Sus scrofa: one gene and its partners. The protein of the gene in region 2 interacts with the protein of the main gene of each other region in a biochemical or structural test. Links are inferred from orthologs where the notes say so. Each region holds a gene or a part of one and is shown on either strand. Other genes may lie near its edges.

Evidence for each region.
Region 1: of the proteins of RRAD (region 2) and CAMK2G, one has a biochemical effect on the other in vitro, tested with the Homo sapiens proteins (2 studies listed by BioGRID, with this or other methods). The link is inferred for Sus scrofa from reciprocal best matches to the Homo sapiens genes RRAD and CAMK2G.
Region 3: of the proteins of RRAD (region 2) and PRKACA, one has a biochemical effect on the other in vitro, tested with the Homo sapiens proteins (2 studies listed by BioGRID). The link is inferred for Sus scrofa from reciprocal best matches to the Homo sapiens genes RRAD and PRKACA.

The regions. Positions count from the first base shown.
Region 1 is NC_010456.5:76,567,859-76,572,255, forward strand, and holds part of CAMK2G (calcium/calmodulin-dependent protein kinase type II subunit gamma), read right to left. Parts: intron 4,337-4,397; coding exon 4,282-4,336; intron 3,408-4,281; coding exon 3,342-3,407; intron 859-3,341; coding exon 786-858; intron 641-785; coding exon 538-640; intron 108-537; coding exon 24-107; intron 1-23.
Region 2 is NC_010448.4:27,601,720-27,606,589, forward strand, and holds the start of RRAD (GTP-binding protein RAD), read right to left. Parts: upstream 3,409-4,870; 5' UTR 3,306-3,408; exon of another isoform or gene 3,252-3,305; intron 3,086-3,251; 5' UTR 3,071-3,085; coding exon 2,701-3,070; intron 1,812-2,700; coding exon 1,738-1,811; intron 1,622-1,737; coding exon 1,417-1,621; intron 608-1,416; coding exon 330-607; 3' UTR 1-329. UniProt on the Homo sapiens protein: May regulate basal voltage-dependent L-type Ca(2+) currents and be required for beta-adrenergic augmentation of Ca(2+) influx in cardiomyocytes, thereby regulating increases in heart rate and contractile force.
Region 3 is NC_010444.4:65,088,165-65,092,561, forward strand, and holds part of PRKACA (cAMP-dependent protein kinase catalytic subunit alpha), read left to right. Parts: intron 1-1,371; coding exon 1,372-1,498; intron 1,499-1,590; coding exon 1,591-1,686; intron 1,687-1,784; coding exon 1,785-1,907; intron 1,908-4,397.

The sequences.
Region 1 (4,397 bases), on a different chromosome or scaffold from region 2:
CTGAGCATGTGGAATGGGCTTACCGCAGGCCCAGATATCCACAGGTTTTCCATAGGGATCTTTCCTCAAGACCTCAGGGGACAAGTAACCTGGGGTGCCAGCAAAACCTGTAGCGGAAGAGAGAGCGGAGGCACACTGAACCCACTTTCTCTCTCATTAAATCCACGTCAGTGATTTCCCCCAAGTCCTTTCTCACTTCTGCTGCTTTTGCTACATAAGCTCTCGGTCTGTGGGTAGCAGGAGATGACAGGCCGGGCTTCTTGCAGTGCCCAGAATCTAAATCAGAGGGCAAGTCTCCGTGTGTCTACCAGCAACTCCCATCCTCCCCAGAGGCAGCAAGAACGCAGTGCTGACAGCAGCTAGATTCACTGTACTGAGTCACGTAGGGCCAGGGGGGGCTCTGCACCCTCCCCTCCTCCAGTCTCTGGGGAGGCCAGGACCATTAAGGGTCTGGCTTCTAGTTCTCAAAGAGGAAGGCAGATCAGGAAGAGGAGGAAGGGCGGGGGCCGCATTCCAGGAAGACAGGGTCACTCTTACCAAACCAAGCCTGTTGCTCTCCCTGTACTTCGATGGCTAGGCCAAAATCAGCTAGCTTGACGGCGGCACCCTTGCATTTACTCGCCAGCAGCAGGTTCTCAGGCTGTATAAGGAAGAGAGAGAACCCTGTGAGGCACCCACGCCGCAGCCCATAGGGAGCCTAATTTGGGCCCCGGCAATACTACCGCCTGGCACCAGGTGGCGCCAAGGCTTCACAAGCAAGAGGCAAAAGGGAACCTGGGTCGTACCTTCAGGTCCCGGTGGACGATGTCATGCTGGTGGATGTGGTTAACACTCTCCAGAATCTGATGTATACAGTGGCTGGAAAAGAAGAGGAAAGGACAGTGCAAGGTGAAACCATCCTTGACCACATGCTGTGGACCAAAGCACTGAACTCTAGGTCACAGATTCACAGAGAATCACTGAATGAGAAACTAGAACCTTGGACTTTGGATACCATCTGTTCAAACTATTTTACAGAAGAAGAAACCAAGGCCCAAGCTGATTAAGTGGTTTGTCCAGGGTCTCCTACTAGATAATAGCAGTGGATAGCCTAGAAGAGGGTTCAGCATGCCTCCTTAGAATGTAAAGGCCCAACATATCATTTGTTTCCAAGAAACTGGGGGACACCTCAGGCTACTGAGAAAGAGACCATCCAACCCCTTCCTTCTTTCTCTTTGACCTTCTCTGTTCTTAGAGAAGAGGCCTGTGGTAGCACCTTAGGAAGGACAGTCCAACTAAGCCTAATTGTTTTGGGGGTGGGTATAAAAATCATTTATTTAAGCATTTATCAGGTACCTATAGGCTTTGTGCTGGGGACATCAGCTATAAAAATGACCCAGTGTCTGGCCTAAAGCTTACCATCCAGCAGGGGAGATAAAATGAGGACACAGGTCCTATCAATAGTCAATGTACTTAAGGGGGTTCCAACAGGCACCTGAGGAACATTTCTGATAACAATTTTGCAAACAAAAGGATAAATTAACCTAAAGTCACATTTAGCTGCTGATTCTTCCTTTTTTTTTTTTTTTTGGTCTTTTTAGGGCTACGCCCACAGCATATGGAAGTTTCCAGGCTAGGGGTCAAATTGGAGCTGTAGCTGCCGGCCTATGCCAAAGCCACAGCCACGCAGGATCCGGGCTGCATCTGCAACCTACACCACAGCTCACGGCAATGCCAGATCCTTAACCCACTGAGCGAGGCCAGGGAGCGAACCTGCATCCTCATGGATGCTAGTCAGATTCATTTCCACTGAGCCACAACGGGAACTCCCTAGCTGCTGATTCTTCAATCAGGCTGTCCACCTTCCAAACCATCCTGTCACACTTGCAGGCAAACTCCTGGAGGGGTGTGCTGGCAGTCTAGAATACTAGTGAGAACTAGGGGACAATTCTGGCCCCCAGGGCAATTCGGGTAATGCCTGGAGACACTGCTGGTTATCACTACTGAGAGGAAGGGTGCAACCGGTATCAAGCAGGTAGAGGCCAGGGATGCTTCTAAACCTACAATGCACAGGTGGGACACTCACAACAAAAATTTATCTGGCCCCAAGTGTAAGTAGTGCTGAGACTGAGGAGCCTCGGCCTGAGGAACAGAGCCGGTTCTACCAAGTGTGTGGAGTGGGTGCTGGGCTGGTGACCTGGACTTATTACTCCTTCTCTCTAAAATCTGATGCTAGGGCTTCCACAAGAGCCAAGAGGTCTTGCTGGGCTCCTAAAGGCTGAGGTTTGGGCCTCTCTATAGGACATGGCCCAGGAACAGGGCAAAGAGACTTTAAGACTGAGCTGAAGAGGCGAGTCTCCACAGAAATGTATAATTAGAACAGAGCCAAGCTAGCAGGGAGAGCCTTCTGGCCAAAAATGGCAAAAGTGCGAACTGTCCCAGCAGAGCCAGGCCAAGCCCACTGGTACAGTCACCCGCCCCGGCTCTCCCTCCTCCCCGCCAGGCTCCCTGCACTATCACCGCCTCTTCCCGCCCCAGAGCCTGGTCCTCCCCTGCTGGCACTGGAATTCATCTCCCACTTGAGAATTTTTCCCGAGGCTGAAGCATCTGAAGTTGATCAGCAAACATTGGCCTCTCAGGGTTGAGAAATCTGTGAGGAAGCTGTGCTCCCCCACCCTGCGAGCAGCCAGAGCTGCCACATCTGCCTGAGAAGCTGCAGGCAGGAGAGACCAAGATCAGGTTGTAAGGACATCACCCTTGGAGAAAACTCGGGCCCGGGGGAGGAGCCGAGGAGGGAAAGGCAGCCCAAACAAGCGCCCAAGAGCTGTGGAGTGGGAGGAATTCTGCTGTGTCACATGAAGGAGCTGCCAGGGCCTCCTGGAGGACTGGGGGCTGAGGGGTGTGGCCAAGGAATGGTCCTCCAGCCTGAGAGGCCCCGAATGGAGGCTGGTCATGGTGGTCAAGACACAAGGTGATACAGGCTGAAATCTCCCAGAAAGGTTCCTGGTTGGATTATTAACCCAGATGTTTCTACTCCTTCGAGACATGGTTTGTCCAAAGAGAGAAGTGGGGCTAGGGAGGGCCCTTGGGCATACTTATGAGTATGCACTGGTGCAGAGAAAAGGTATTTCTGGTGTGCGAGGGTAAAGGAGATCTGTAAGAGCTTTGTAAAAAAATCAGTCTGGGAATGCTGCATTTTAATTTCTAATATTGCCCACAGAACGGAGCCTGAGTCCAGCTCTACACAGTCTTTGTCCAGATAAGAGCCCTTCTAATCTCCCTGAAGACTATTCAAATAGGCACAATGCCTGGTCCCTTGAGGTAGTCAAGTTGCCACTTAAACCACAAGCCCCTCTTCTCACCTGGCATCAGCTTCACTGTAGTACTCTCTGGCCACAATGTCTTCAAACAGCTCCCCGCCAGTAACACTGCAACCAACAAAGAGGGTTAGAGGAGGCAGGTCAGGTGGCCGAACCCAGCATCCAACAGGTAACAGGACATCCTCTAGAACAGCTTTCAGAGAACTCTCAACACCACATGCATTTCATCTGAGAGCCCAGAACATACTCCAGCCTCAATGATGTAGAGCTTCTCCTTGGGACAACATGGATCCACCCTTTCTCTCGCACTTTTCTGTTCCTGTAACCTATAGATTAGTTGACACTCTGATAGAGATGAATACACAGGCATCTACGAGAAAATAATCGACCCACTCAAACAGTCATCATTTTTTTTGAGACCGGTATGAATGCTAAGATACAGCTGCCCAAGAAGGACAGACCTACTACTGAAGCTGAAGAATAATGAGACCAAGGACACAGAGACCCAACCCTGAAAATACCGGAGGGGCATTTCCAGGAGGTGAAGAGCCACCTTTAAGATATTAAACCACAACCAAAGTGGAGGAGAGACCAATGGGAGCCCAGTTTACAACTAAAAAAAGGTACCTTCATTTTCCCGAATTTTTACGGTCATGCAAAGAGCTAATACATTCTATTTCTCTACTAAGGACAACACACCAAGAAACAAGAAAAAAGCAACTGCACAAGGTGTGCTGCTGAACGGAAATGCAAGAGCAATGCCAACCCGGGGTTCAGAGCCCTGGGGAGATTCTGAGTGAGCAATGAGACCCTGGGCAACCTGCCCATTACCAGAGGAAGTTCAAAATCAAACTCCTCTCCTCGGGCAAAGGAGAGGGACCCTCGGCAGAGGCTGAAGACCCAGTTTTGGCCTTTTTTCCAAGCCTTCCTCTTGAGCCAGCTGGAGGGAAAGGCCCCCACACCCTCAAAAAGCGGCACTTACAGGTCAAACACGAGGTAGTGAAACCCTTCTTCAGAAATACTGTCATGGAGGCGTACTGCAAGAGAGGAGATGGGGACAGAGATTAACAGAGAGAAAACTTGGAAATGCTACTCCTC
Region 2 (4,870 bases):
TCTGCATGTAAACAAATAGCCACCGCACTGAACAGCCTCCCCGCAGGACACACGCACCACAGGTATAGAGTCCTCTCCGGACTCACAGGCCTGCCCTGGGGGCTGGGCTCCAGCTGCTGCTGGGGACGCATTTGGGCCTGCGTAGGCATCTCTGAGGGCCCAACCCTCGACGGCCACTGGGAGCCACCTCCCTCGGCAGCAGAGTCTGTCCATGACCATGAGGTGTCCAGGCCCAGAGTCCGAGCCAGCCCTGAGGCACTTGGGCGGTTGGCTGGGCCAGCCCACCAATCTGCCCATCCGTCTGCAGAACACAGCGAGTGCCTCCGGGCCTAGAGCACAGAGAGGTCGTGGCAGGATTTAGACTTGGCACGCAAGGCCATCTTGCGGCTATTTCTTGCGACGATGCGACCCAGAAAGCGCTTCGCCTTCTTGCCGAGGCTCTCTCGCCGCCGGGTACCCGCTTGCCGACGTGCGTTGGCCTCTTTGCTGTCCCTGCGCAGGCGTATCTGACGCACGACACCCTCGAACAGTGCCTGGACATTGTGGTGCAACGCAGCCGAGGTCTCGATAAACTTGCAGTCGAAGACCACGGCGCAGGCCCGGCCCTCTGTGTGGGTGGGGACAGGTACACATCAGTAAACAAATGGTGGGGGAATGAGAAGCCCACTCAAACCCTGGCCACCCCATGGCAGCTACCACATCTGTGGGTAAGGGAAAGGGGACCTGGGGGTCCTCGCCAGAAACACAATGACCTCAACTCCTGCATGGGGGATCCTGGATGTTGCTTGGGTCACCCAAATGGCAGAATGTGCCTGGGTTTAAGGGGCTCACAAAGGAGACTCATTTATCAAAAAACATTTGGGGTCTGATATTTAAATGGAGTGCTGCAGTAGCCAACACAGGAAATAACTTTGTGGGACAGCTTACTGTTTCATGGCTTGATGTTATATCATGAGGAAGGAGGGTGGAACAAAGGGAATATTACTGCTAGGTTCCTCTGAGGGACTCAGGTCTGAGCACCAGAGAGGAGGATGCTGGGTCCAAGAGGGGTGGGTCCTCCCCGGGGGCAAGGCTGGTCCGGGCCTGGAATCCAGGCTCGGACCCCCTGGCCTGATTCCCTGCATTCTCCTCAGCCCTCATCTGCCAGGCCAGGGCCAAAGGGGACAGGAGACAAGGGCCCTGAGGTGGCCCAGCCCAGCCCAGCAGCCTCTCCCCGCCCTAGCACATCGGTTCTTCCCCAGCACTCAGGCCTTTGGGAGACCTATGGGAGGGCAGAAGCTCTGCTCCGCTCTCCCTGACTTTTCTTCCTGAACATTTTAGCCAGCAATGGTCCCCAGGCCCTTGAGCTGAGTTAAGGCCGAGGGGACCACAGCCCGGCCAGGATCTCCCTCCCTTTCCGACCCACTCTCTGCTCACCATCCAAGGAGACCTCACGAGAGCGCACCAGGTCACTCTTGTTGCCCACTAGGATGATGGGCACGTCGTCTGTCTGTCGAGCCCGCCGCAACTGGACCCGCAGCTCTGAGGCCTTCTCAAAGCTGTCCTTGTCTGTCACTGAGTACACGATGACATATGCATCTCCCATGGCCATGCAGTGGCCAGGTAGCCAGTGGCCCCCATCCTAGCAAATACAGACACACACAAATATACCCAATAGTCCTCATGCCCCAGCTACAAGGCTGTCACTCCCTGTAGCCCCTACCCCAACCCTGCCCTGGCCCTCAGCCTGCGTCCTACCTGCTCCCAGATGTCATAGACCATGAGCGATGCCTCTTCTCCGTCCACCATGATGGAGCGATCATACGTGTGCCCTGGCAAGAGACCGGTAGTCAGGTTACCTGCTGGCTGCCAAAAGCTCCCCCTCCTCCATGCCACCAGGCTTTCTGCTCTGGCCACAACCTCCAACTCCTCCCCAGAGCTCCTCTAACCTTCCCTCCACTGATGACTGCTGTGACAACAGAAGTGACAGGGCTGAAGAATGGTAGGGGGGAGCCGTGGAGGGCATGGTGTGCCTGACCTTGCCCCTGGATATCCCTTCTCCAAGGTGGCAATGTCCCCAGGGGGCCGCTCCTGTGTTGCCTGACCTCCTGCTGCCTGGGACCCCGGGTGGTTCTGACCACAACGACCTGAGTTAGAACAAGTGTCCCCTGGGGACCTTGGTTACCTAGGACTCCTCTCCTAGAAACTCCTCTGGCTGTGTTCTTGCTGGTCCTGGCAGGGAGGGATGTTCTGTTTCCATCCTACAGAGTAATCACACCTATGCTCTGAACCTTCTACTTGAGGCATTTCCTAACTAAAGGCTGGGGGGTACCTTCTTCCACTGTCCCCATCTGAAATGGGTAGGTGGAGGCAGCTTCTCAAAGCGCCTTCAGAATCCCTTTGGTGGGAGTTCCTGTCATGGCTCATCCATAATGAACCTGAGGAGATGGGTTCGATCCCTGGCCTCTCTCAGTGGGCTAAGAATCCTGCATTGCTGTGAGCTGTGATATAGGTCGGATCCTGTGTTGATGTGGCTGTGGTGTAGGCCAGCAGTTGTAGCTCCGATTTGTTTGACCCCTAGCCTGGGAACTTCACATGCCGCAAGTGCGGCCCTCAAAAAAAAAAAAAAGTCCCTTTGGTATTTGCTGCTTCAATCCTGATCAGTCCTTTAGCCCTCGGCCCTAACCCGGCCTCCCCTCCCCTGGAGTCCCAGCCCCTCACCTGCAGCCTCCGCCTCAGGCCCATCCTCTACTCCACCGAAGATGCGCGCCAGAGCGCTCTTGCCGACACCAGGGGCCCCCAGCAGCAGCACTTTGTAAACGCTCTCGTCTGAATCGCTGCCTCCGGAGCTGAGCGAGTCAGAGGAGCCCTCGGGCCAGTCCAGCCTCGGACCCTGGGCCGCGGTCCCGGCCTCGGCCGTTGCCAGAGCGCCCGGAGCCAGCGCCGCCTGCAGGTCGCGCTCGTCCACCGGCATGCTTCGGCGGTGCAGCGGGGGCGCCGGGCCCCAGGGTGTGCTGCCCCGACGGCGCTCGCGCTCCCGGCCCCCGCCGCGGCTCCCGCCGGCTCCGCTGCCGCCGCCATTCAGAGTCATCGTCTCGGACGCCGTCTGGGCAACGGGAATCGGGATGGCCGCGTAAGCCGCGGTGGAAATGGAGCCTGGACCCGACCCGGCTCAGCAAGATGATTGGGTTCAAGGACCTGTGACCCCTCCTCCTGACTCATCCATCCCAGACGGTGCGACCCCCCCCACCCCGCCCTGCCAGGACCCTCACCCACTCACGCACGGACACGGTCAGGACTAGGTAGGTCGGATACAATCCACTCACAGCCCCAGGCGCGGACCCTCGACGCTGCCGCAGCCGCCGCCGCCTTCTCAGTCCACACTGGGTCTGGCCGCCAGAGACGCCTATTTAAGCCTCTGCCCGCCCCCGCCCCCGCCCCCGCGCTCGCCCCCGTCCACGCGGTGCGGGGGTGACGTGTCTGCCCCCCTCCCCCCAGGGGAATCCCCCACCCCCACCCTCCTCCCAGGGCCTCGCACCCACTCAGACCCCGCCCCGCCCGCCCAGCAGACTCCGCCACCGACGCCCCGCCCGACTCCGCAGACAAAAGAGCCCGAGTGTGTGTATGGGGAGGGGGGCCGGGAAGGAGCGAGAGGGAGGGGGAGTGTATGAATGGTGCGGAGGAGTTGGGGGGGTTCACGGGTGGGGACAAGGGGGTGGGGGACCAGCCAAGTGCGTCAAGACCCCTCTAGGGAAGAAGGAGGTCTCGTCCTTTAAAAGTGAATTCTCCTTTCCCTCCCGCCTGTTGCCTGAGCAAGCAGACCAGTTACAGGTGGGACAGACTTCATCCTTCTCTGCCCATTCCCCGCTGGCCCATATCTGAGCAAGACATTAGAGGTCCTAAATCCGGGCTTCTAGCCTCCACCCCAGGTCCTTCCCACTGTCCTCCCTGCCCTTGGGAGTTGAAGATTTTACCTGATGGCCCTGCCCTTCAGGATAAGGGTTAGTGTCACCTGAACCCCTAGGACACTTGGAGAGCTGTTTGGAGGAGGTGGGCGGGGAAGGGCGGCCCTCTTGGCAGTGTGCTGCAGGTAAAGGTGCAAGCTTGAATCCTGGGGAGGGAGTACAGGCCCTGAGAAGGAAAAGGATGAACTCAGCACCACCTCCCCCACCTCCATACCCTCCAGGCAGCTGCCAGCAACTCTGCTAAAAATACCTGGCCCTGGTCGTTCAGCTCCTGGGCTGGAGGTTGCCCAAAGTTGGGGAGATCCTGGCAGACAGGTGTCAGATGCCAGCAGAAGCGGATAGGGGTGGAACTGGACCAGGGTCAGGTCTGGCTCCAGCCACTCTGAGTCCTCAATGTTCCTTCCCTCCCTTTAGCCTTAGACTGGGGCTGCTGTTCTAGGCACTTCCAGGATCTGGAGGTTCAGACTCCCATCCAGGAGGGGCACCATTGTAGAGTAGGTGGGTAGGGGTGGGTTAGCTACCACTGCTCAGAGAAATCAGTCCCTCCTCAGACCTAGGGAGGGTGCCGGGGCGCAGAGGGGAGGCTTGGTTTCCAGTCCTGAATCTGCCTTCAGGCTCCTAGGTCTTGCCTCCCTCCCAGCCTCAGGGTGCCCAGCCACAAGCTGCCTTGCTCACATTTAGGGTGTGTGACGATTGAGGGCACGCAAGCTGTGAGGCGCTTTGGGACAGGTACTTGCTATCAGTCTGACGTTTATTTGTGATGAGTCTGGTGGGGGTGAGGGGTACCCATTCAGGGCTCAGGTGACATCAGGGATGGATGGATCCTAGTGGGCCTCTAGGTTGTCATGGAAACCTGGGTCAAGGCTCTCTGGCTGCTGTGTCTGTTTCCTTGGCAACATCTGAGAGGGCCTTGGAATGAGGAGGGC
Region 3 (4,397 bases), on a different chromosome or scaffold from region 2:
GGAGCCATAGCCACCACCCACAACACCACCAGATCCGAGCCACGTCTGCGACCTACGCCACAGGTCACAACAACACTGGATCCTTAACCCACTGAGTGAGGCCAGGGATCGAACCTGCATCCTCACAGATACTACTCAGATTTGTTACTAGTCAGATTCGTTACTGCTGAGCCACAGCGGGAACTCCTCATTGTATTTCTTTATACAGATACTCACTTTACACACAAGAAAATGCACAGGTTTTCAATGATCTGTCCCGTGAGTTTTGACAGCTACATGCACTTATGTAACCACTACCCCAAGAAATTCCCTCAAATACTTTTCTTGGCAAATCGCTGCCCCAACAAAGGCAAATGTCCTTTCTGGCTGTAAGCACCGTAAATGTGTTTGGTCCAAGTCTGGACTCAATATAAATGGAATCACACAGTTCACATTCTTCTGTCCTTTCTTCTCATGCCTTCCATAATCACTTTGAGATCCAGCCACACCATTGGGTATATTCATCGTTTGTCCTGGAGGTGGTGTTGGGTAGGATTCCATTGTATGAAGCTTTCGAAATCTGGGATTCCATTTCTCTGTGGATGGACATTTGGGCTGTTTCCATTTTAGAGCTATATGTGAATAAGGCTGCTCTGCTGATGCATTTTGGGTTTTTGTGTGTGTGTGGTTTTGTTTTTGTTTTTGCTTTTTGTGTTTTTCTGTTTAGGGCTGCACTCAAGGCATATGGAAGTTCCCAGGCTAGGAATCGAATCAGAGCTATAGCTGCCTGCCTGCCCCATAGCCACAGCAACGCCAGATCTGAGCCACATCTGCAACCTCCACCGCAGCTTGTGGCAACACCAGATCCTTAACCCAGTAAGTGAGGCCAGAGATTGAACTTACATCCTCATGGATACTAGTCAGGATCTTAACACGCTGAGCCATAATGGGAAATCCTGCTGATGGTCTTTTTTTTTTTTTTTTTTTTTTTTTCCGCTTTTTAGGGCCGCAACATATGGAGGGTCCCAGACGAGGGGTCAAATCAGAGCTATAGCTGCCACCTACACCATAGCCACAGCAACACAGGATCCGAGCCGGGTCTGCAACCTACACCACAGCTCACAGCAACGCCAGATCCTTAACCCACTGAACAAGGCCAGGGATTGAACCCGCAACTTCATGGTTCCTAATCAGATTCATTTCCCCTGTGCTGCGATGGGAACTCTTTTTTTTTTTTTTTTTTTTTTTTTTTTTTTTTTTTTTAATACTGATGCATTTTTGATAGCTAGGCTGGAGGCACCTCTCCAGGCTCACTTGCTGGACCATTTGCAGGAGGTCCTGCTGCTGTGTCCACCCTCACCCACCCATCCTCTCCCCTCTTGTCCCCATCAGTGAGCCCCATGCCCGCTTCTACGCGGCCCAGATTGTCCTGACCTTCGAGTACCTGCACTCGCTTGATCTCATCTACCGGGACCTGAAGCCGGAGAACCTTCTCATCGACCAGCAGGGCTACATTCAGGTGCCCACTGGGCCAGGGGAGGGGCAGCCCCAGGTGACTGTGGCGTGAATCCTCCCTGCCTCCCCACCAACTGCCTGTTCTTGTGCCCACAGGTGACAGACTTCGGTTTTGCCAAACGTGTGAAAGGCCGCACCTGGACTTTGTGTGGGACACCCGAGTACCTGGCCCCTGAGATCATCCTGAGTAAAGTAGGCGCTTCCCTACCCCTCCCACCACCCTGAGACCGGCTCCGCCAGCGCCCCCGCTTCACCCTTCTCCCCTCACCTGCACACCCCCCTCACTCCAGGGCTACAACAAAGCTGTGGACTGGTGGGCCCTGGGGGTTCTCATCTATGAGATGGCCGCTGGCTACCCGCCCTTCTTCGCTGACCAGCCCATCCAGATCTACGAGAAGATTGTCTCCGGGAAGGTGAGGCCTGGATTCAGGGGCTTGGCCCCCAGACAGACCCCTTGCCCACCCATCCTGCTCTCCATGGAGCCCTATGCATTGTCACAACAATCTAGAGGTTCATTAAGCCCGGCCAGGGGGTGATACCAGGCACACCACTTGCCACACTAACTAAAGCCACCACTTCACACAGCCTTGGTGGCTGATTCTAGGACCCACAGTGCCAAAATCCCACAGGTATCCAAAACCCTCAGCCTCACCCAAACTCCTGCCTGGCTCAACATGAGGCTCTTCTCGCCTCTAGTCTAGTCTGGTCGTCCTTAGGGTGAGTTTTCACAAACTTCTCAGCAGAAAATCGAGTACAGAAGTTCCTGTCATGGCTCAGCAGTTAATGAACCTGACTAGTATCCATGAGGATGCAGGTTGGATCCCTGGCCTCGCTCAGTGGGTTAAGGATCTGGCATTGCTCTGAGCTTTGGTGTAGGTCCACATGTGGCTCAGATCCAATGTTGCTGTGGCATAGGCCAGCAGTGTAGCTCCAATTCAGCCCCTAGCCTGGGAACTAGCATATGCCATAAGTGCAGTCCTAAAAAGACACACACAAAAAAAGGCAAGTACATTCAGTTCCCAGGTGCTATCCCACCCCCCCACCTCCTTTCCCAAATACAGACTTTTTCGGAGCACATGGGTGAGGGATGGCACAACTGTTAGAGCCCAGGATGCATTAAGTGCCAGCTGCCCCCATGCACCTCCTGGGTTCGTCGTACCCCAGCACTCCGAGGGAGTGAGGAAGCTGAGGTGCAGAGAGCAGACATGTCTGGTTTGAGATCACATGGCAGCAGCAGCTGGAGAGAGGCAGAGGAACCCTACCTCTGCCCTCTGCTTGCCCACCTCACCTTCACCAGAAGGACCAGCCATCCCTTCATCTGGCCCAGGAAATGGAGTAGCTGGCAGCTCAGCCTGGGCGGGTTGGCCTGACTGTTAAGTTCCAGCTTTGCCATTCATCAGCTGTGAAACCCCAGGCCAATGGCTTTGCTTCTCTGAGTCTCATCTTAATCATCTCAGAACTGGAGAACTAGCCATGGGCCTCTCAGGTTGAGAGAATCCCCATCTGTCAAGTAGGGTCACTGAAAAAGGGAATGATGAGGTGTCTGCCATCAGGCAGAATAGAAGTTACCAAGAAAATGGCCCAGAGTAGGGGGGGAATAAAAAAAAAAAAGCCATAGAAAGTTTCAATGGGGGAGAGGAGAAGCTGAGCACAACTCCTTTCTTTGTAACGTTTTATGGTTCCCACGCACCCTCAGCAGGATTATCTCCCTCATGCAACCCTGGGATATCTGCCCCATGCCAAAGAGGCAGGCACAGGCCCAGAGAGGTTAAGGGCCGTAGCCAAGGTCACACAGCATATAAGAGGCAGAGCAATACTGGAAGTTGGTTCTTGTGGCCGTAAATTCAGTGATTGCTTGCATACAAGGTTAGAGGCACAAAGCATTTGGGGAAAGTTTCTGGAAGAGTTGAACTGGGCCTTAAGGAATGGAAGAGCCTTAGCTATGCAGAGAGAGAGAGAAATAGAAAAATAATTATTTCTGGAGTTCCTGTCGTGGCGCAGCAGAAACAAATCTGACTAGGAACCATGTGGTTGCGGGTTCAATCCCTGGCCTTGTTCAGTGGGTTAAGGATCTGGCATTGACGTGAGCTGTGGTGTAGGTGGCAGACGCGGTACCGATCCAGCATTGCTGTGGCTGTGGCATAGGCTGGCAGCTGTAGCTCCAATTAGACCCCTAGCCTGGGAACGTCCATATGCCGCAGGTGTGGCCCTAAAAAAAAAAGAAAGAAAGAAAGAAAAATAATTATTTCTTTCAGAATCATGAATATTTCAGAAGTCCCCAGACCCCAGCAGAGCTGCCTTAGGAAGCACTGGCTGAGAATGCAAGTTCTGGAGTCCAGCAGATCCAAGATGGACCACCTTGTCTTGTTCCTCTGTGTGACCTTGGGCAAGCTGTTTACTCCATCCAAGCCTTAGTTTACTCTTCTCTGAAATGGAAACCTCCTGCTGTGGCTCAGTGGGTTAGGATCCCAACATAGTGTCCATGAGGATGCAGGTTAAATCCCCGGCCTTGCTCAGGTTGAGGATCTGGTGTTGCTGTGAGCTGCTGTGTAGGTCGCAGATGCAGCTCGGATCCAGTGTTGCTGTGGCGATGGTTGTGGCCTAGGCCAGCAGCTGCAGCTCCCAATTTTTTTTTCTTTTTAGGGCCACACCTGCAGCATATGGAAATACCCAGCTAGCACTGAATCAGAACTGGAGCTGCAGCTGCCAGCCTATGCCACGGTCATAGCAACACCAGAACTGAGCCATGTCTGCAACCTACACCACAGCTCAGGGCAACACCGGATCCTTAACCCACTGAGTGAGGCCAGGGATTGACCCACATCCTCATGAATACTAGTGGGGTGAGTTACTGCTAAGCCACAACAGGAACTCCTGCATCTCCAGTTCATCCCTTAGCCTGG